Linked DNA regions of Rhinolophus ferrumequinum. The protein of the gene in region 1 interacts with the protein of each later gene in a biochemical or structural test. Links are inferred from orthologs where the notes say so. Each region holds a gene or a part of one and is shown on either strand. Other genes may lie near its edges.

Region 1 (7,804 bases):
GTCTACTCTGTCATCTAGGTAGATCTCCATAAAACATTTTTTTAATCATTTCTGTATTCACTGGCACATGGGTGGTTTTCAGTTTTGGACTGTTAGGAATAGTCGTGATATGTAAATATATGATATGTGTCAATGACACACCTACACATTTGTGTTGGTGATCATGTGATACTAGCATTGTTAGGCTTCAGCTCTATGAAATAGTGTCAAAGGAGTTTGGAAAACATCTGTGCCAATTACGACATGCACCAGCAGTGTTGGAGATTCTTAATTAGGCCACATCCTTGTCAATACTATTAATTTTATTTTAATTTTTAGGCTTCTGGTTGTGTTTGATAGTACCAAGTACTGGTTTTATTTAGATTTCCATGATTATTATGAAAGTTGAGCATCTTTAAACATTTCAATTAGACACTGGAGACCATTTTTCAATGTGTGTTACTTTATTTTGTCTATTTCTCTTATTGTATTGTCTTTCTTATTGATTTGTAATAGTTTCCTATATCTGCTGATATGATTCATTCACCCACATTGTGTGTGTGTGTGTGTGTGTGTGTGTGTGTGTCTTTTCAGGAGAAGAAAGATTTCAGTTTAATATAACTTGGTATTTCCTCCTTTATACACAATACTTATAATTCTGTTTAAGAATTATTGTACTATTGTAAGACTATAGAGATGTTCTCTTCTGTTATTTAAAAAATATATAGGTTTAAAACTCAGATTGGAAATCCATTCAGAATTTATTGGTTGTATGTGTGAATAGAGAATTATTTTTTTTTCTGATAAGCTAACAAATTTCAATGGATTATTCGGAACCGACATACTTTCTCTCTTTTCATTTGTTCTCACCTCTCATGGCTTATGCAGGTTACAATCACCTCCCTCTGTAATCTGTCCTTCCTGTGAAATCTCCCAGTGAATATGTGTCCTTCCTGTCTCCTTCATTATGTAACAATGCTCAAGCACCACAAAATTGAGGTCACTGTTGGTATAAAAAATATTAACTGTATTTTTTTCAATCAATTGTTCCCAAATTTTTAGGGGAAAGGTTCACACTATTGGAAAATACTTCTTAGTGAGCATCTCAAATTCTTTCACCTCTTGTGTCAACTTCTGTTTTGGATTAGCATGGATTTTTGTATAACAGACTTGGGAGATGTAATAGTATCTGTCTTGGATAAAGGGCTGATGAATTTCCTGGCCAGTGTAATAAAGATAATGCATGTTTTTGAGGCAAACATTGGGCAGATTCACGTATAACACAGGTAAAAGATTGGGGTTTCTTAGGCTTAATGTTCTCCAGGTGCGACACAAAACTACTAAGTGTACAGCATCCACCTGGACCACTTTGCACGGCCCCAGGGGGCTTGTGGGGCAGTGAGGACACACGGGAACACGAAGCTCCTACTGCCTGTTCTGTCGTGAATAATAATGTCTTTTGTCTCAGTTCCAGGCATCTTGTGTTTTATCCAGCATCCCTGAAATTGGCAGGCTAACTCGGTGGTTTGCAAAAGGCCTAAAATCTTAACCCTCTTTACATTTCTGATAGTCTCAGTGATGAGGATGGATGGTGAGAAGCCTATGTGAATAGCCTTTGTACGTCTCCCTTTAGCAGAGGGAAGCTGACATGGTGAGGTAGCTGGGGCCTATCTCAGTGTGCTTGGGCTACTGTAACACAATTCCACAGGCTGAGTGGCTGATAAACAACAATTTCTATCTCTCACTTCTGGAGGCTAGAATCTGAGGTTGGTGGGCAGCATTTTCTGGTGAGGGCCCTCTCCTGGGTGGCAGACTTCTCCTTGTATCTTTTTTTTTCCCCTTCTTCCACCCCCCTCCCCGCCCCCCACTCCAGTTCAAGCCGTTGTTTCTCAGTCTAGTTGTGTAGGACACAGCTCCCTGGCCCATGCTGGTGTTATGAGCCTTGCACTCCCCCTGGCTGATGCAGTTGGTCACTGGTCGTCAGTCACCAGTCATCAGTCAGCCGCTCACGCTGGCTGCCGGCCACTCACACAGGCCTCCGGCAGCTCACAGCGGCCCAGCTCCAGGGAGAGCCGTTGTTCACAATCTTAGCTGTAGTGGGCGCAGCTCACTGGCCCACATGGAAATCGAACTGGTGACTTTGGCATTAGGAGCATGGCACTCCAACCACTTGAGCCACCAGGCTGGCCCTCCTTGTATCTTAACAAGGCCGAGGGGCTAAGGGAGTTCTTTTTCAAGGGCACAAATCCCATCCATGAAAGATCTGGCCAATGACCTTATCACCTCCCACAGGCTCCATTTCCTAATACCACTAGACCTTAGGGATTAGGTTTCCACATAAGAATTTTCAGGGGACACACACAGACTGTAGCAGTACCCCTAGGAGAAACTCAACATCCTCTTGTTGTGTCTACATCAGAATATAGTAGGTACTATGTGTGTTATACTTTGCTTCCTCATCCCAGTGCCAGAGGGGACTTTCCTAGTCAGGTAAGGTCAGGTGGAGAAGAGTTAGTGGATCTAACTCTAATTTTATTTGTCCCCAGAGGGTAGATGAGGTTTTAGATCAAGTCCACTCACTTGTGTTATAGAGTTTTCATTATATGAATGACTTTCTCTTAGTTAGTGTCCTCAGTCTCCATAGCCCTGTCTGCGGTGCCATCAGCTCTCTGCCAGTGAGGGTGGCTGAAGGAACCTAATTCAGTGTCCTGATTTCCGGTGACAGTTCGTTGGGATTCTGTGTGCAGATGCACCATGCGCAGTCCTTCCAGCAGTGAAGAATCAACTACTGTCACTCTGGTTCCCCAACATCTAAAGAAAGCCTAGCCCTCACAAGATTTGTAGAATATGGAAGACGGCACGGGTGTCTGTGATGGATGATTTTGTCATTTAGTGCCTCTGTCAAAAAGAGGCAGCCTCCACCTAGAAGCCCATCTTGTATGACTTGTGGACCATCCTGACAACTAACATGTACATTCATTTGAAAGTGGTAATTAGTGAGCTCTCCGTAAAACTGAAGTGTGACTCTTAGAAATCTTGCAATTCTCTTGATTTTTCATTAACAAAATTTCAACCGAGTAAATTTAAAGATCAAACTGGCATTATTCAACGGTCCATGAGTTGGGCAGCATCCCATCTAGCAAGTAGAAAGGTGCTCCAAAGTGCTACAGAAAAGCAAAGATTTTCAAAGGGAGAGAGCCGGCGGAAAAAAGGAAACTATTAGTAAAAAATGCATTGTTTCAGGCAAGGCCACCCTTCTCAGTGGAATGGAAGGTGACGAATTTTACCTCACTAGTGCTGACCAGGTAATTCCAGGTTGATTGGTCAAAGGTTACATTCCGAGAGGCTGAAGCTGCTATTAGTTATTAAGTCTTGGTTTGGTGACGTGGGGTTTAGTGCAGGTGACTCCATTTTGGCCCTGCTCTCTCCTTTTTAACAGGCTTGATATTCCAATTTTGGAATGAGTTAACTTGGACTTCACTACCCACAAGAGAAGTAGGGTCTAAAAAGTCCTGCGTGTCACGTAAAGTGAAAATTCAAAAATGAAGCAAGGCTGGCCCCAGTGACATGTATGTTTTTTTGCAAGAATAGGTGGTACCTGTCACCTTGGAGGAACATTTAATCTCCACACTGCAGCCAAAGCCACTAGTAGCAGGAACCCTAATCCTCTGCAATTCCCCTAAATGCAGGACTTGGGTTCACTGGTGGTTTAAACTGACACCTAATGGTGTCTCCTGGGGCCACCGTGGCTGTTTAGTTTCAGTGTCAGGTGTGCAGAAGTGAAATCAGATGTGGTTGTTCCCTTCACTGGTCAGATCTCAGATATCCGGACTCCTGCCAGTGGTCTAGCTGTTTAGGGTGCCACTAGGAAAACTATAGACTGGCAGATTAAAGACGACCCTCTCTGGTGGCTGTGAAGTGTTGAAACTAATTGCAGTGCTGAACTAATCGTCTGGGTTATCATTTCGACGTCCATGGTAAGGCCCTGTTCTTGAAAGTCTGGCCAGAATCAACCTCCTGATTAAGCCTGTTTCTGTGCAGAGGCTATCTGGGGGCTTGAGGGCCAAGCCTGAAGAGGCAGGGAAGGAGAGACATTGATGTAAAGATCTGACAATTGAAAAGGAAAAGCTCTCCAAGTAGGAGGTACAGTTTCGGCGAAGTCTTGTTGGAATGAAAAAGTATGATGTGCTCAGGCGGCTCTAATTTTCCAGGTCGGTGCAAATGTAACAAGGGGAGATGGGAGATGGAGGGCTCAAAAATGAGACGCGCAGGGTCTTGAAGACCAGCCTCAAGGGTTTAGTTTTTAATCCAGACATCAAGGCAAGTCGCCACCCTTTTCGGGGGCGTCGGCATAATAAGGCATAAATCAAAGACTCACACCCTCCTTCTCCAGCACAATGGCACGGATTCCGCCTTCCAGCCAACCTGGCCGGTATCTCACAAGCGAAAACCTGCAGACTGCCTCGGTCCCAAGACGTTATGCATTCCTTACGACGCACGCGCAGAAACTTTCTCCAGGACTCTCAGAAGGGCAGGCTTCACCTCGTCCAATCCTGTCCCTCATTGGCTACAAACAACTGCTCGTCTGGGCCGTTGTTAGTGGCGACGTAGGCGGGTACAATCTTGGTCGCTAAGATACCACGTACTTCCGTTACCTTCCTCCGTCGTCCTTGGCTCCGACAGGCCCTTCCACCAATGGCAAATGGGCAATAGGCGGGACTTCATTTGTTCGGACCAAAGAAACACGGGTCTGGCCGGGAGTAGGGCGGCCAATGACGGTGGGGCAACCCCTGTAGAGTGGCTCGGTCGCCCCCACGCTCGCCTTCCCTCCTCCTCTCGGACCTGCCCCTCCCTAGCCCCGAGTCAGCACCGTGCTAACCGCAGTCTGACAGGAACGGGACGCAGCCAAGATGGCGGCGGCCGACGGCGACGATTCCCTTTACCCCATCGCGGTGCTCATAGACGAGCTCCGCAACGAGGATGTTCAGGTTCGGAGGCCACGGGGGACTTGGGGAAACGGGAAGGGGGACCTGGGGGCACGAGCGGCCCTCGCGGAGTAAAGTCGCAGTTCGCTGGGAGTGGCGGAAGAGGGCGGCAGCCAATCAGCGTCCACCTCTCATCTCCCTGGGTCCCCAGACTCGGTGATACGGCGCCCGGGATTGGGTGTCGGCCCTCCAGAGGGCGGGAGCGAGGCCGAGGATCCCGGGCCTGCAAAGTGCGCGCGGCGGCCCAGGGTCTGGGAGGCCGCGGTCCGCGAGGGGGCCGGCGGGCTGGGTTAGGGAGACCGGGGATTCGGTGATTGGCGGTGACCCCTGAAGGGCCCCTTTGGGATGGGGAGGGCGCGTGAGTAGCTCCGAGTGGGGGAGGGGCCACCTGGTTTATTGGGACCCAGGTAGGATTCTTCCTTTTTGGGTTTCGGCGGCTGGGCCTCAGCGCTGTGGGGTAAACCCCAGATGGGGACTGAGAGGCGAAGGTTTCCTTTCCAATTCCTGCCCGCCGTCCCCCTCCAAATTTGGTGTAGCCCCGACAAAGGGGATCGAGGGCGAAAACACCCCACCCCAAGAGGGAATTCGTTAAATTTAGGAGTGAATTAAGAGGTGGAAACCCGCCCCGCTTCTGGGATCCTCTCATTGTCTGGGGGGTGGGCAGTTTACTAGACGGGCTGACACATTTCTGGTGAGTGGGATGGGGAGGCCCAGGGCCCTGAGCCCGGCTGGCAAGGGATTGAGAAGAGTTAGGACTCTGCGGTTTGCCCACCCCAGCTCCACTTCCCACCCGCCGCGTAACCTTGTGCAAATTACTTCACTGCTCTGGGCCTCTGTTTTCCATAAAATGTGGGCTAATAATAGTTCCGGCCTCTCTGCTGGGTGTTGGAGGAACTGAACGAGTTAATAATACAAGTAAAAGAGAACCATGTCTAGCGTGTTGTAATAGCCCAATAAATCTTAGCTGTAATTTTTGGGAGTGGTGACTGGAGAGGTCCCATCTCCCTTTGGGCCTCAATTTCCTTCTTTATAAAATTGAGCCGGTTTGCCCGGGGCCCAGCCTCTGAGGGTCTGGGTATATCACTCTGGTTCTGGAATCAGACAGGCTGCGGTTGTGCAGCTGGCTCTTCCGCTTGCTGATTGACATGAGCCACTTAGTTAAGGTCACCAAGACTTGGTTTCCTTTTTGTTTTAAACGGAGGTCATTATCTAGTTCATAGGACTGTTGTACGGACTCATCTGTTCAGTGAACACCTGCCACATAGCAGGTATGGTGCTGTGGATATAATGATGACACCAGTTTTTATACTAGACAGATGTCTCCTACAAGAGACAGATGTGAGACAGGTGACTACATTAACGCGTGTTAGATGTGATGGGAAGGAAATGGCAGGATATTGTGATAATGAGTCAGTAACTATTTTTGGAGCTTCTGCTCTGTGCAGGGCCCTGCTCTAGGCACAGTTACACAGCGGAACAAGACACAAAACTCCTGGCCTTGTGGAGCTTATGCTCTAGTGAGGGGAAACATAATAAACAAGACAATGAGTAAAATGTGTTGTATGTTCCATGAGGATAAGTGCTAAAGAGAAAAATGAAGAGGGGTGGGGGGTGCAATTGTAAAGAGTGGTCCAGGAAGGCCTTGCTGAGAGGTGATGTTTGAGCAAAGATCTGAAGGCCACAAGGGAAGAAGCCAGGAGGCTGTCTGGGCAGAGTACACAGCAGGCAGGAAGTGGGGTGGGAAAGATCGTTTTAAGTAGGCCAATCAGAGAGGGCTCCCTCTGAGGACACAGAGTTTAAGGTGAGACCAGAAGAAGGAGCCAGCTCCAGGAAGGTGGTGAAGAGCCCTCCAGGAAGAGAGAGCAGACAGGTAATGGCAGTTCTCAACCCATGGTGATTTTGCCCATCAGGAGACATTTGGTAATGTCTGGAGATGTTTTTGCTTGTCCCAACTGGGGAAATGTTACTGGCATCTAGTGGATAGAAGCTAGGAAAGCTGTTAAACCTCCTGCAATGCCCAGAACAGCCCACATAACAAAGATTTGTCTGCTCAAAATGTCCGTGAGATTGAGAGAAACCCTTGTGGGGAACTCTTGAGGCAAATTTAGTGGCTTAAAAGAATACTGATTTATTATCTTACAGTTCTGAGAGTCAGAAGTCTGACATGGGACTCAATGGGCTAAAATTAAGGTGTCTGCAGGGCTACCTATGTTCCTTTCTGGAGGCTCCAGGGGAGAACCTGCTTCCCTGCTTTTCCCAGCTTCCAGAGGCTACCAGTATTTCTTGGCTTGTGGCCTCTTCCTCCGTCCTCAAAGGAAAGTCTAGGCCTAGAGGTGACATAAGAAGCAGTGCGGTGAGTGGAGGCAAACCAGGGTTTCGAATCCTGGCCTGACCACTTTAAGAGTTACTCAACCCTCTGGGCCTTGATTTTCTTGTTAAATAAAAATAAGGATGGAAGACAAACCTGTCCAGGTTGTTGTGAGGACTAAGTGAGATATAAATTACGTAAAGACACACAGTTACTAGCCACTGCCTAAGACCTTGCAACTTCATGCCCCTGTCTACATCTTAGAAACATGATGTCACAGTCTCCAACTCCTTTTCATAAAGTAGTTGGGGACTTGCTGAAGCAAAACTTAGAAATAAGGTTGCTCTCTGAGAATTTAACCAAAAAAAAGTTGATAGGATGGTGGTGAAGAACATGGGTTCAAGTTCTAGGCTCTGTCACGAATTCACTAGGTGGCCTTCATTCCCTTCTCTGCTTTTGTTTCCCCATCTGTAAATGAACGCAAAGGTGGTATCTGCCTCGTGAGTTTGTTACAAGAATACAATAGAGAACA
Region 2 (7,285 bases), on another chromosome or scaffold:
CACTTTCCTGGGGCCATCACCTAAGGCGGCTGCCCTTACACGAGCAGCATTGAGGCTTTGCTAAATACCGCGGGACCACTACTCAGCTCAGCTTCACAACCCCCTTAATTAGATGCTAGAATTATCACACCGCATGGGTGGGGCACTTTAGGTAAGGTGACTGCAGGCAGCAAGTCGCTGAACCAAGGTTCGAATTCTGCAGTCCCCAGAATTGCCAGGGTACTGACCAGCAGCCCCTAAATGGAAGGTGAGCAGGGGAGGAGGAGCCCCAGCCAGGAGCGGGGGTGGAAAGGAGGCCTTAAGTAGGGGTTGGGGAGGTGCTGGAGGAGGGGCTGGGTCACAAAGGATGGGACCCCAGTCGGCCAGGTATCCGTGGGCAGAGGGAACAGGGAGCCCTCCAGCCATTTTCCTTGATGCCCCAGAGGAGGGCGAGCCCTCCGTGAGAACAGAGTCCTGTTCAGCGCTGTGGGCGGGTAGGATGGGGTGGGGGGCTGAGGAGCCCCCAGAGGCCCTGGGGCCACTGCAGTTAGATCTGCTGTCTGTGGGAAGGAGAGGCACATTCTTCCACTAAAAAATTATTCCTTGTTTGTCTGATATTCAAATTTGACTGGACATCCTGCATTTTTATTTCCTAAATCCAGCAACTGCCGCTCGGAACCCTGGACTCTCACTGTACTTGGCCACTGAGACTGCCCTGGCTCCCAAGGCCCATCCATCTGGGGACCCTTGAGGAGGGCCACGCCCCTGCCTCCAGGCCCTCCCCCTGCAGAGGGAACTGAATTCAAATGAGGTCCCTGGGAGCCCAGAGGGTATTGCCCCCCCCTCCATCTGGCGGCTTCAGAGCCCCGCCCTGCCCCCTCCCAACCTTGATAACGACGCTTGATCTCCTTGAACCTTAATATCCTCATCTGCAAAATGAGAAGAATGACTGCAGGGCCTGGCACAGGGAGACCCCAGGCCATTCACTGGCCACTCAGGCCCCTCCCCAGAGAGCCCTCCTCCGGCCGTCCCCATTGCTGTCTGTTCCAGCGGGGCACCCCCAGTGGTCCATCATCACCACCCAGCTAAGCCCCCCCAAGGCCTCGTTTCTCTCTCACAGCCTTCTCCTGCTTCACAGCCCTGCCCGTGTGATGTGACCATACTGTGACACGGGTCCCGCCACCAGTGGGGTTTCAGTAAGTGTCTGAAGGGAGTGCATGGCTCCTGTGAGGACACCCACAAGAGTGCCACTGCTGCCCTGAGTGCCACAGCAGTCGATTCCGACTGCTGCCCGTTGCCCAGCTGTGCCCCCAGGCTTGGCCCCTGAGCCCGCGAAGGCAGGGCTCTGGGTGGCGTGAGGCCCTGGGGTGGGCAGCGTGCCCTGCTTGCCCTGCCTGGCTGGTGGGACAAAGCACTCCTTGGACACCTGACACAAGTTGTGGGGCACAGACAGGGACCAAAGCAGGCGAGGACACTGCGGGCGAGAGCCTGGGGCTGGGCCTGGGAGGCCAGCAAGTTAAGGATGGGCCAGGGAGGAGAAACATCCCTGGGGCAGGGGACCGTGGGAGAGAGGCCCTCTGTGCCTCTCCAGTTACAAGGTCTGAGTTAAGCCCTCCTGCCCTGCCGCACCCCGAGAAGGGACTGTCCTAGGCAGCCCCAAAATGGCACTCTGGAGCTGGCCACCACATGGCCCTTGGGTCCCCTATCTGGCCCAGCAAGGTCTCAGGCACAGGGATGACAGGAGGTGTCGCAGTGGTGCAGGCAGAGCCTCCCTGGATGCAGTCAGCCAGGCGGCCATCTGGCTTGGGAGCTGCCTTGAGGCCCCGCCCTGCAGCTGCTGCCCAGACTAGGCAGCCGGGGGCACTGGCCCAGGAGTCCTGCCCGATGGCCGGCAGCTGCAGAAGGTGACAGGGCTGGAGGCCCCTGTACTCAGGGAGGGATCAGGCAGCTGCCCTCCCTGGGGCCGGTGCAGCAGTTTTTGTTGGAAACATCTGGCCAAGGGGCTCCCCAGCGGTTCCAGCAGTGGCCAGGGCTGGCCAACAGGGCTCGTGCTCTCCTTGCCATTCTGTTTGGGGGGTGGGAGAGGAGTGTTCTTGGGGAGAGGAGCTCCCTCCAGGAGCTTTCCCTCCTGGAGTCCAGTGGAGGAGGGGGCTGGTCCTGCCCACAGGGATACGCCAGTCACAGGGCAGGCTCACACAGAGGCCAAGACAGGACTGGGTGCTGCACAGACAGGGTGGGTGCAGGGCTCGCAGAGGGTCCCGGGTACCCACTGTGCGCCAGAGCTCCGGACGGAGCATGTGGAGAGGCCCCTGGAGACGGGGGCTTTGGACCACCTCAGCGCAGCCTCCTGTTCAAGATGCGGATCAGCAGGCCGGAGAGGAGCCTGGGGAGTCGCCACGTCTTCCATGAGAAGGCACCTTCCTGGTCCCCCAGTCGCCACTCGCTGACACCTCACCATTCTCCTCCCATCTTCTGCCTTCTCCAAAGCATTGCTGAATCCAGGATGGGGTGTGGGTATGGAAACCCCACCTGGGAGAGCAGTATGTCGGTGGGACAGTCCCAGAGGAGGCCCCAGGCACCCATGGGAGGATTTGTGGGGTGAGCGATGGAGAGATGTCAGACATCTGGGGGTACCCTTAGGTCAGGGATCTGGCCCAAGCAGCACAGACGGGCTGGGTCTGTCACTTGGCCCCTGGAGGCAGGGCCCTGCCTGGGGGTACACAGTAAAAACTGAGACAACTGTGCTGGGGTGGGGACACAAGGGCCAAAGGGAGATGTATGGAACTGGGGCCCCTTTCTAAGGAGCGGGTGTCCCCTGAGCAGGGGAGAGAGTCCTTCCCTGAGAAGCATCCTTCTCTCAGTCAGCCTGAGAGGCTGGGACAGAGCCCCAGTTTCCGCTGTAGACGCTGTCCTGGGGGTTCAGCCGGGCTGCACCTGCTTCTGACCCAGATAAAGTGTCTATACACTCAGGCTGAACTCTGACCCTGGATGAAGAACAAAAATGTCCCCCCCCCCAAAAAAAAAGCAAAAACAAACATACCACCCCAGGAAGATAGCTCACAGTGGTCTTCATTTCACAGAAGGATTACTATCAACTTGGAGGCCTCAGGGCTGGGGGGAGGGGCAACTGTAGGAACCTGAGGCTCCCGTGGAGGGCCAGGGCCAGGGAGGGCTCCAGGGTGGAGCACAGTCTGCAGTGTCCTGGGAATCTGTAGGAGGAGGGTGCTAGACTCCCTCTGCCTCTGGTCCCTTAGCTGCCCCCCAGTGGACTGTGGGTGCCCAGGGCCCACTGAGACAACAGGGAGGGGCTTGGGCGGCCTCTGCTGTCAAGACCCTTCTCTTGAGCCTGCACCCAAACCTGCTCCCGCTTTGGGTATGTGCTCCCAGCTCAGAGAGGGCAGTCCAGGCCAGGTGGATGCCCCTCCACTGGTTCCTGTGCCCTCTTTTCCCTCTGTCACCGTGGGAAGAAGTCCCCATCCACTTTGTAGCCGCCACGTGTCAGCATCTTCCTTCTGGGGGAGGGGAAGTTTCTGGAAGCCCCCTGCCAAGGAGGGAGGGCTCAGAACCCCTGTCTCTCCAGGGCCTGGCTTGCCCTCATCAGTCCCCACGTCCCCGATGGCCCAGCCTTCCAGGCCCACCTCCAACCTGCCCTCCCCAGCCTCCTGAACCGGTGGGGCAGGGACCTCTGATTGGGTCTTTCAGGACAATCTTGGCGCCTCTCTCCCTGGACCCAGTAGGGTGCTACCCACTTGGGTCACAGCACATTCTGATATCAAACTAACCTACATCCCATCCCACCCCCATCCCATGGAGACAGAAGCCCTCATTCGTCCCCGTCGCCGCACAGAGAGGCCGAGAAGTGCGGTTCACCGGACAAACCGGGAAACTGAGGCCAGAGAGGGCGTGCCCGGGGACTGGCAGAGCAGTGGGCGCTGGGCGGGCGGGCCCAGCCCCGGCCCCCGCCCTCTGAGCCCGGGTGGGGGCGCAGGGCCGCGGAGGCGGATGTGGGCGGGCGGCCGGGCGGGGCGCGCGGGGCGGGGACGGGGCGGGCCGGCGGCGGCGGCGGGACGGAGCGGCGGCGGCCGGCCCAGCGCGCGCGCAGCAGGCACCGGAGGACGCGATACGCGGCCGCGCACGAGCACCGGGCCCGCGGCGCGAGGCCCGCCGGACAGCGCCCGCCGCCGGCCCGCGCCGCCCCAGCCCGCCCCCGGCCCGGCCCGCGGGGATGCGGAGCGGCGGGCGCCGGAGGCCGCGGCCCGGCTAGGCCCGCGCTCGCCCGGACGCGGCGCCCGGTGAGTCCCGCCCGCCGCCGCCGGGGCCCGGATTTCCTCCCCGCTCCGCCGCTTTGTTCCCGGCCGGCCGGGCCGGGGCGCGGGCGGCGCGGCCGGAATGGAGGCGCGGGAGCAGGAAGTGGCCGAGCGCGGCCTGGGCGGGGAGGGCGCGGGCTACGGGTGCGGGCCGCCGGTCCCGGCCTCCCTCATGACCTTGGAGAAGTGGCCCGCCGGCCGGCGAGGCCCAGGCTGGGGCGGAGGGGCGCGGCCGGGCCCGGACGGGGGCATCTCTGCGTCGGGGGCTCCCCGGGCGCTCCCTGGGCGCCTGGCCAGCGCTGCCCGGAGCACAGGAGGCTAAGGGGCCTTAGGAGAAGGCTCGCCCCAGCCCTCCTTCCAGTTTGTGGGTGGGCTCTTGGAAGGAGACCTCATCTTCCCATAGACAAAAAGTTGTCCCTGGTGGCGAGGGGCCCAGGCCAGTCCACAAAGGACTCCTATCCCTCGTGGGCCCTGAAACTGCTTCCTGACCTGAGTGGGCTGTGGAGGTGCTGCCCACCCATCCTAGAGGCTGGGGTCTGGAGGGCAGCTAGGGCTTGGTCCCCAGATTGGAGGGTGGGGGCAGATGGTGAGCTCAGTGGGTGGGACTGGTTTCAGAGTACTGCCCTGGTGGACAGAGTGGGGGCATGGGCCTGTGATCTCCGGCCACAGGGCCTCCTCCTTCACTCCTGGGCCCCTGGCCTGCCTCCAGGCCACCCCTGACTGCTCTGAGCCCCTGGTGGGAGTGAAGGCCCTGCAGCTTGGTTCCCTGCCCCCCCCCACCCAGCTGAAACATACAGTTTACAAACCAATGTTGGGAGGCAGAAGGAGGGTTTCCTTTCGGAGCACAGACTACTTTTTAAGAAGTTGTGGCTTTGGTAATGACAACAGTCGCGTAGTGTCTGGTGAAGGCACTCAGTACCGGGCAGCAGGACACAGGTCCCCTTGGTCCTGCCAGTCCTGTGCAGAGAGGCAGCCCGGGTGTTGGGCTGTGTGTGTGTGTGTGTGTGTGTGTGTGTGTGTACAGATGTATTTTTACACATGGGCTGTCGACAGCTGTCTGACTCTATCAGCAGCAGGCCCTTCTCAGGCCTGGGTGGGGGTAGGGTAGGGGGACATCCAGAGGCCTCGGAGTCCAGCCCTCTGTCTCCAGGCCACGCCCACTCCGTGTCACCAGAGCCCCCGGTGCCCACTGTGCTGGGGCTCAGAGCCCAATCCTGACACCCTCATATCTTCCCGCTGCTGCCCATGGGCCTGCTGAGCACTTCGGCACTTGCTTTCTTAGGCAAAGTGTGTCATCCCTGTCCTGGCATCACACACAGGCAGTGAGTGGGGTCTAACCACCCTCCTAAATTTAGCCTCAGACCATCAATGCACAGCAACCTTCTCTGGGTGCCCAGCCCCTGCCTCAAGAGGCCGGTGAGGTGATCTGTGGGAGACCATCTTCGTGGCTGTGGGAAGACCCATATTGGGATCCATTCCAGTGGTTCTCAGGGCTCCCTGCCTGGCCCGGGTGTCCCAGACTGGAGTCTCTTAGGGCCTGCCCTCCGATTGCCCATCTGGAGGGTAGCAGAATACTGGGATGCCCAGAACGGGTGATGTGAGCACTGGGTTTTGAGGGATGTGTAGGAGTTTATCCAGCAGGGGAGCCATGGGGAGGGTCATGCAAGATGAATGGCCAAAGTGTCTACTTAAGAGAGGGCCACTGGTGGGCCATTGCGGGCGGGTGCCAGGACCGCTGTGTGTGTACAGCGCCCCCCATTGTTTGCCTCTTGGATGCTCTAATTACAGACCTGTAACCACCCTGGACTGGGTACTCCTTATAGACGGGCCCGTCTGAACCCCTTTGTCACCAGTGCCCAGTGCTGAGCCTGGCAAACCAGAGGTGACTGATCTACACTGGCCAAATGAATGAACCAGATTCAGGCCCGCAGGGGCACCGTGGTTTAGGAGGGGCCGGGGGAGGGGTTCAGGTCACCCTGGCGGGCTCTGCCCATTTACGCCAGCCGCCCTTACTTCTGGTGCTGCCTTCTTCCTGTTTGAATGTCTCTCCCAGTCTGGGGCAGGGAGGAGGAGCCTATGGGTGGGAAGACTGGATGGAGAACAGGGCGCCCTCACCAGGAGCCTGGGGAGGTTGAGTGGTGTGCCCTGAAGCAGTCGGGCTGCCTGCAGGGGGTTGCCTGCCGGGCTGGCTGGTTAGGGAGGCTGGGGTACACTGGGAGGGCCTTTTGGGGATGGAGTGATTTGTACAAAAGCCAGGGGGAGTGGGAATGGGCTAGGTGAGAGGGACAGGGAGCTCTGAGGGCCTTTTATTAGGTGCCGTGGTGGGAAGAAAGTGAGGGGTGGCAGTGACTCAGGGCTGAGGGGAGCAGGCCACACGGGAAGGTGCACCCGGGCTGAGGCCCCAGGTGGGACGACCCTCCTGGGCTCATCACCAGGTCGGAGGAGTGGCCCCTAAGCTAGACACAGCCTCACACTTCCCTTTGCTTCTTCCAGAGGCTGTGGGTGCTGGCTGGGCTCCGGGAGACCCTACTGCGAGAGGAGCGTGAGTGACGCCTGGGCCGCCTCGGCCCGCAGCAGCGCACAGCATGACCGACGTGGCCATCGTGAAAGAGGGCTGGCTGCACAAAAGAGGTCAGTGCCCCTGGGGGCGGGGCCTGGAGCCGGGGCGGCCTGAGCTGGCCCACAGGCTTCCTTCAGGTGGCAGGTGCTTTGGTGGCCTGCTGGATGGGAGGGGCCTCCCTTGGGCTCCCAGACCTGCCCAGGTGAGCCTCCAGGGCCCAGTGTCTCCCACGGTGTGCAGGGCATGGCCTTGTGTGTCCCCTGGGTGGGGACATGAGGCCCGAGGCCTGTAGCCTGTCTGGCTGGCGGTGGAGTGACCGCCTGGCTGGGCCTGGTTGGCAGGGAGAGCTGCTGCTGCCTCCCTCCCCACTTTCCTGGAAGGCAGCAAGGACGCTGGGGCTGGTCCAAGGCCTAGCTCACTGGTGGCCCAGGGCACTGCC
Region 3 (7,924 bases), on another chromosome or scaffold:
CTAGGAGTAGAGAATGATTTAAGACCCAAAAAGCTCAAAAAGAAAAATAAAATGGATTTGACAAAGTTTCATTCAAAGAACTCCACAGGGAAATGACAGACTGAGAGAAGTTATATGCCACAAATAAAACTGGGATTAACACTTCACATTTCCTCAAAAATAAGACCTCGCTGGACAATCAGCTCTAATGCGTTTTTTGGAAAAAAATTAATATAAGACCCGGTATTATTTTACTATAAGACTGGGTCTTATATAATATAATATATAATATAATATATAATACTGCATCTTATATTAATTTTTGCTCCAAAAGATACATTAGAGCTGATTGTCTGCCTAGGTCTTATTTTTGGGGAAACACGGTATAGAACATACTCCTGGAAATCAACAAACAAGAATATTGAGCATCCTGTGATTTGAATAGTCAAATCACAGAAAAGGAAGCCCAAATGGTCAACAAATGTATAATGAGATGTTCAAACTTGTAAAGGGGAAATGCAAATTATGAGATACCACTTTACACTCATCAGAACAGCAAAAAAATCAGGTGGATAATATCATTAGAGAAATAAATATAGTAGATGCGTACAGTGAAATACTATATATCAGAGTGTTAAAGAAAAAAACCACAGGCCCAAAATGGTGTCACTCATGCTAAAACCTCATGATACCAAACTTAGATTTAATACCTGATCTAATTGCAGTTTTGACCTCTTCCAGAAATGCAATCTTAATCAACTAGTCTGGAATTTTATGGTCTAGCATCAGTAAGATAATCTGTCACTGTGGAGCCTCTCCATCCTTTCTGAAGAGGTGGGGAAATATGTACAAAACAATCAATGACTGCTTATCAAAGATTTACAAGAGCCTCACGACCAAATTCAGATCAGCACGGGTCAGTGGATCTACTGGGAACAGAGATTTAGAGATTTCAAGCTCTTCCTTGGATCCCTGTTGGTGCATACTTGTCTACAGTCCTCACCCACCTCTTGCCCCACCCTCCTCCCCTTGAATTTGGGATGCTTTTAAGATAGATTTGCAAAAGTGTTAAGGTCCCCATATTTTCTAGCTAATGCCTTCTCGATCAATAAACTTTTCCTTATTCCAAACCCTGACGTTTATGACTATTGGACTGTGAAGTGTCGGGCGCACAAAACTTGAATCGGTAACAGAACTACTTAGAAGCCAAACACTAAACATCGTAATGATCACCATTTAGTGAAAAGTTAGAACCAATGAAATGTATAGCACAATACCAATATATATGCACATGAAACACAATACTATATATTTTACATGGATAATTTAGGATATATGCCCAATACATTGGAGGATGCTTTTCCAGAGAGATGAGATAGTATATTAAGGATGAAGGGGGAAAACAAGGATTTTTGCACAGACATCTTGATAATGTGCCTTTGAATAAGAGGATTGATTATACCAGTGTGTCTGAGATCCAAAAAAGGGGGGAGTTAATTTGCATACCAAACTATGAAAGGATATAAATTATATCCATGCATTTTAAAAATTATCATGTAACTATCGCAACTTAAAATTTAACTTTATAAAAAGTGTTACGATGACAATAAGCTAGATATAGTGCTAACCAAGACTCTAAATGTCTTAAGCTCAATTGTCAAAAGATGTATTAAGTTGCATCCCTGCTACAGACCTAGGGGACTATTCACAAGTAAGCCAGGCAGAGTAATATGGTTTTGGAGAAAAAGGAAAAAAAAAAAACAAGCTAGAAATGAAATTAAAAATACACTGAGATATCATTTCTCACCTATCAGATGGGCACAATTTTAAAAGCTGACCATGTACCATGTTGGAGAAGTTGTGGGGAAACAGACACTCTCATACATTGCTTGTGGGAATGTTAAGTTGTACAATGTCTATTGAAACCATATACGCTTTTACTCTCTGACCCAGTAACCCTACTTCCAGGAATTTATCCTGATAATAAATCTTCAATAATATAAAAATATAAATGTATTATTTGTAATTGCAAAGTCCTGGTAATTACCTAAGGGCCCACTTAGCTATAACTGAGTAAACTACGTTACGTACACCAGTGGAGGACTATGTAGTTGTAAACAGATGAGGACAATTCCTATGAACCAATGAGTGTTTTCTGTGAAATATTTCACTGAGAAAAGCAGAGTACAAAAGAAGACCTAGAATATGTTACCTTTTACATGAGAAAGAAGGGGAAATATATATGCATGTTTTTGCATAAAATAACTCAGGAATAAAACAAAACAATGAAGCTGGTTACCTACAAAGAGTAGAGAACAGGGAGAAAGGAATAAGTGAAAGAATGACATTTTCCTGCATTCACCTTTTTGGATAAATTTTACTGTTGGAAGCTTGGATAATGTTCTACATACCAAGAAAATTAAATTAATAAGGATGGGAGTAACAAACTATATGCAAGCAGAAACAAATTTAACTCTTAAATGAATACTATCACCGCACACTGAAATGAAGGGAAGAGAGAAACCAAATTAAAGTAACTTGAACACAGCTATGAACCCTCATTTTCAGGGGATTTGATTAAATATAAGATGTCATTAATTGTAAGATGAGACTCAATTTCAGAGATGTTAAACTGAAGGGGAAAAAAATGGTATCTTAGAATCCATGGACTATGGTATAATATGGGAAAGTGAAAATTAGAATTAAATCAATAATCTAGATAACTCAAGAATATTAGAGTAAGCACCAAATGTTTCTTTAGGGTGTCAGGGTAAGGGCTTTTCTGAGGTTTATGATAATATATGAAAGTACATGTATATTAGGGGAATGACAATTATTGCTTAATTGGCACAGAGTTTAGGATTATGAAAAAGTTCTGGAAAGCATAGTTATGAGAGTTGTTCAACATTGTGAATGTCTCTGATGCCTTGAATTGCATGTTTGAAAGTGGATAAAATAGTAAATTTTATGTTTTACCACAATAAGAAAAATCACCAAAAAAAGTATTGCACGATTTTAGTAGAAAATTACAGTAAATTATATATTCCTCTTATATATGTATATAAAATACATAACATAGTCATGGAATCTGGGGGCCGAGCCTTTTTAAACAGCATTAAACAAAATTATTGACAGGACTGATGACAATATAGCAGAGAGGTTCAAGAGCATAGGCTCTGGCTACCTGGCTTCATTTTCCAGCTCCGTCTGAGTGACCTTGGGCCAGTCACTTATCTTCTCTACCTCACTATCCTCATTTGGTTAATTGAAACAATAATAAAAGCACCTACTTCATAGGGTTGTAATAAAGGGACTAAATGAGATACTCAGAAAATACCACTCATGTTCATTCTGAGCTTTCCAGGCTTAGCTGAAATCCAGCCTCCTTTAGTTCTTTATAGACGAACCTCTTCAGAGACTGCAATTTCTCTCACAATCATACAGGTACCCTTTCTCTGCAGTAGCATTTCATCACCTTTTCATCTTTTGTCCTTAGTTGGTTTGCTACTATATACAAGGCACTTAAGAGCAGGAGCTCTTCCAGCCTTATTTCCCACTCTATGACCTATTTCTATGGATGGGCATATTTATAACTTTCCACACGTGTGTGGTCTTTCACACATTTGTCCTCTGCCACAAAACAAATTCCTTAGAACGTCTTCTACTCCAGGCAACTTCAAGGTTTTGCCTAGGGAGAAGTTTCAAAATTCAGTTCAAATCCACCTTTCTAAAGTTTTTTCTAACTGTTGCCTAGAAGGGATAAGCAACTATTAGATTGCTCAAATACTGTACTATTGGATAGGCACTTGTAAAAATTTAATCTTCACAAACTGAAAAAGTAGGCCTTACTGAGCCCTTTTAACAGATGAGGACTTGGAGGCTTGGGGAGATTTGGTGGTTGTCCAAGAAAGAACACAGCTACACAGTTGGCAAAACCAAGATTGAAACCTTTGCCTTCTGATACTGGATGTTGCCTCCCTCTTGGGTTCAGCGGCAACAAGAGGAAATATGCTCTTCCAGGGAACTGGCAGTTAGCAGTCGCTCGATAAATACTTGGCGAATGAACAAATTATTAGAACATTGCATAAACACTGCGGCAAACGCAGTGTATAATACTGGAGCTGGAAGGGACACAGATAAATATAATACACAACGATCATCTCATCTTTCTGATGCTGAAAGGGTAGATTCGAGATGTTAGGGCCCCACACCTAGTTAATGGCAGAGACAAGGCTAGAAAGCATTCACTTACTCAATAAATATTGAATGCCTGTTGGGAGAGTGCTAGACTCTGGGGAGACAGTGTTGTTGAGGAAAGGCACAAGCTTCCCCAATCCCTTTGCAGAGCGCTGAAAAAGCACTGCAGGAGACCAAGGTGGGGACAAGGTTCCCAGAGAAAACGATGTGAAGAAAGAACCAGGCGAGCTGGGTCTGCACCCGAAGTGAGGAAGAACAAAGAAAAGAAGAGGGAGAAAGCGGTGGAATCTTTGGCTCTTTCGGACCGTTTCTCCGCCGAGCCACGCGGGGGCGCAGCAGCCTTCCTCGGGTCCTTTGCCTGCTCGCCTTTCTCTCGGCGGAAATGCCCAGGCGATGACGGAAACCCGGAGGGAGGGGACAGAGAGAGCGAGGGGACAGAAAGGGCCAGAGAGCCGGGAGAGGCCTGCCGGGGAGAGGCGGCGGCGGGTGGCCATCGTCAGGAGGGAGCTGCACCGAAGACCCGCGCCGCGCTCCCCCACACCTCCCCGCGCCTCCCAGCGACACCCGGGGCGCGCGGCCGGGCGGGCAAGAGCGGCCGGGGGTCTCCTGGAGGCCGCGCTCCCGGAGCCGCCCGCTGGGCTTGGGCGGGGCGCGGGGCCGGCGGCCGCGCTCCCCGGCTCCTTCTCCCGCTGGGAGCTGGCGGCGGCGGCGGCGGGAGAGGGGAGCGGCGCCCGGGGCGGGCGAGGGTGGGGCGGGGAGGGGGGAGGGCAGCGGCGGGGCCGGGGATCCGGCAGCCATGGACGACAAGGCATTCACCAAGGAGCTGGACCAGTGGGTCGAGCAGCTGAACGAGTGTAAACAGCTGAACGAGAACCAAGTGCGGACGCTCTGCGAAAAGGTAAGAGAGAAAAGAGAAATGCGGGAGCGGGGGGCTGATTGGAGCGGGCGGCGGCCCCTCTCCTCCCCGGGCCGTCCACTCTGTGACCCGCGGGGCCCAGCCCGTCCAAAATCCGGGGCGTTGAGCTGGCCTCTCCGGGTACCTCTGCCTCCCCGGCGGATGCTCACGTTACTGGCCTCGGGTCCTTGTAGACGGGCAGGAGAAACGTGGCACCTGGAATCCACTTTCTGTGTTTTTGGGAGTCACTGACATTCTTCTGGGGAGTTACACTCCAGTATTTCCCGTGTGGACTAGCAATCTCGGCGCTTGCTAGTCCACACGCCGGCCAGTTATTCTAATACCATCTCTTATCAGAAAATGCATCGGGAGCATCTGAGATCTTTCTTCTTGGCAATGTTGTCAGTTTGGCTCCAATAAAATCTTATAAAAATTTTTTTAAAATGCACCGAAAACCAACCTGGATGTTGCTAATGTTAACGAACTTGTTATAAATGGGAGCTTTTTTCGCAGGTGAATGGGCCTTTCAAAAATCGCTAATTTGGAATGTGTCAAGCATTTGTAGAGAGGTGGGTGTGATGGCAGACTGTGATTTCTAAAATAGAGGTTGACTTTGACTTTAGTTGTAACAGATGGTGACTGGTCTTCCCATAGAGAGACTCTTGGAAGCAAAATGTTGATTTTCAGAAAGACAGCAAATCTTAAGTTTGGAAACAGTGCTTTCTTGAAATATAAATGGGTTACGTGTTTTTCGTGTAGGGTAGCACTTTTCAGAAAATCCTTTCCGTTTCTATTATATATAAAGGGTTTTTTTTTTTCCCTGTGCCAAAGAGTAATAAAATATGCAGGTGGTTAACTGTTTACAGTCATTCTTGATTGTGTGATCTTAGACAACTTTCTGAATTTTGTATCTATTGTTTCCTTACCCGCTGGAATTATTTTGCACTCTCTATCTTAGTTACTTTAAAATCTAGAGCTTTTCTCACTCGTCTTTTATAATCTTGGACTAAATAATTTTGACACATTTTTACATAAAAATTCCTCAGTGAAGGAGTAAGGAGATTATTTCTTCTTTAATGCTGTTGGGTTGGTTTGTATTTTTAGACTTGATCATTTTGTTTGGAAGTCAGGATGCCTCAGAAACACATTGGAGAACAAAAGATTTTGTCAGTGTTGTTAATAGGGGACTCAAAATTAAGCAATTTACTTAGGGATGGAGGAGTAATAACTAATATTAAGTGAAAGTAGTGTTTTTAACAAGTGTAATGTTGTATAGGGCCTTAATATGTAAAATTTGGTAACAGAATTTATTTCTGTAGGTAGAACTGCCAAGGCAAGTGGTATTTTTCTCTTTTCTGAAACAGACTATTTGCTTATAATTTCAAGAAGATATTCGTTTTTCTTGTGTGATAACCTATAATTTCATGAGTCTTCAAATTTATGTTTTAAATCTTTCTCTCTCAATATTTCTCTCTCTAGTGTCAAGTGAAATACCCAGTTTTGAAATTAGCTGAGTCAGTTACCCTCACTGTGAACATTACATATAGTCTTGAAATTATGGACAAAGGTGGGAGTTGAATTCGTTTTCCGTTTGACTAATAATTTTAAGATGTATTCCTAGAGAATAATATTGTATCACTACTCAATCACACTTGAGTCTTAATCATGTGAGGAAATTTTCTGTATTTGTCAAGAGAGATTAGTTTTTACTTCAGCTCCTGAATAACTTGGACTACCAGTCCCTAGGATCTTGTAGGTATATTTAAGCTTAGATCTTACCCACTTTTTTCTTTGAATATTTGTACTTATGCACTAAACACGAGTTTGTAAGTGAAAATCCCCCTTTATCATTGTCCTCCACCCCTTTGATGGAGTTGCCAATGGATGGAGTCCAGTAATAGTATTTCTCTCTACTCTTCTGAGCACTGCTTAGTTTTTCAGCCCTCTTCCAGCAACTGTGGCATCCCTTTGTGGTATGTATACATATTTTACCTGCTAACCTTAATCTCTGGTTCTATTTTATATCTCTGCCCCATCCTCCTTTTTCCTGACAAGTGTAGTGTTTATGTATCAGGGACTGGAGTAGTCAGCCAGAGTTCCACAACTTGATAGCTGCTGCCTCTTTGCACCTCTTATTCCATACCTGTGAGACAGGGATAATACTTGCCCATCTCCTGGGTTGGTTGTGAATATTAAGATATTACCTGTGTAAAATCCTGGGGCACTCAATGAATGTTAAATGAAGAGAAACTAAAACTAAAAATAACCATTTAACCGACTTTGCTTTAAAGTTGTCTGTTGAAATTCGTTTGTTTTTGTTTGGTTCATCCAGTTCCCTTATATGTGGGGTCAAATACTTTATTTTAGAAATGACTAAATTAGCTTAAAATCTTAAAGAGCTTTTAACAAATTATGTTCTTATATCTGTGTCTGATTCTGGCTCTTGCATAAGTGACAGTGTGTTGAACGTGCTGTGGGAGATGCTGGGAAATTATATAACGTATGTACACATTGTTGTATTATACATTAGATTTGGTATAAAAGAAAGGACCTAAGAAATGCAAAAAAAAAAAAAATAGCTCTTGTATCTTGTTTTAAATCTGTCACCCCATTTTCTTTTAGAAAAAGATGCAGAATAAATAGATGGGTTGTTAAGACTCTCTCTGGTGAATGTACTTCAAAAGAGGTTTTCTGTATAGTGGCTAGGGAATCCTGAAAAATAGTTTCAGTATTTCTTGTGATCCCTGTTATCTGAAGCACAGAGTACTGGGATTAGTAGTAATTGTGTGAAGTAACTTTACTCCTCCTTTGGTCTACTTAATACTTGCTCAACCTTTCCAGGCTAAGAATGGC

Evidence for each region.
Region 2: the proteins of PPP2R1A (region 1) and AKT1 form a complex in vitro, tested with the Homo sapiens proteins (2 studies listed by BioGRID and IntAct, with this or other methods). The link is inferred for Rhinolophus ferrumequinum from reciprocal best matches to the Homo sapiens genes PPP2R1A and AKT1.
Region 3: the proteins of PPP2R1A (region 1) and PPP2CB form a complex in vitro, tested with the Homo sapiens proteins (2 studies listed by BioGRID and IntAct). The link is inferred for Rhinolophus ferrumequinum from reciprocal best matches to the Homo sapiens genes PPP2R1A and PPP2CB.

Annotation. Positions count from the first base shown.
Region 1 is NC_046298.1:46,563,603-46,571,406, forward strand, and holds the start of PPP2R1A (serine/threonine-protein phosphatase 2A 65 kDa regulatory subunit A alpha isoform), read left to right. Parts: upstream 1-4,742; 5' UTR 4,743-4,889; coding exon 4,890-4,967; intron 4,968-7,804. UniProt on the Homo sapiens protein: The PR65 subunit of protein phosphatase 2A serves as a scaffolding molecule to coordinate the assembly of the catalytic subunit and a variable regulatory B subunit.
Region 2 is NC_046289.1:824,204-831,488, forward strand, and holds the start of AKT1 (RAC-alpha serine/threonine-protein kinase), read left to right. Parts: upstream 1-4,193; 5' UTR 4,194-4,271; intron 4,272-6,779; 5' UTR 6,780-6,871; coding exon 6,872-6,917; intron 6,918-7,285. UniProt on the Homo sapiens protein: AKT1 is one of 3 closely related serine/threonine-protein kinases (AKT1, AKT2 and AKT3) called the AKT kinase, and which regulate many processes including metabolism, proliferation, cell survival, growth and angiogenesis.
Region 3 is NC_046287.1:66,956,311-66,964,234, forward strand, and holds the start of PPP2CB (serine/threonine-protein phosphatase 2A catalytic subunit beta isoform), read left to right. Parts: upstream 1-4,832; 5' UTR 4,833-4,972; coding exon 4,973-5,074; intron 5,075-7,924.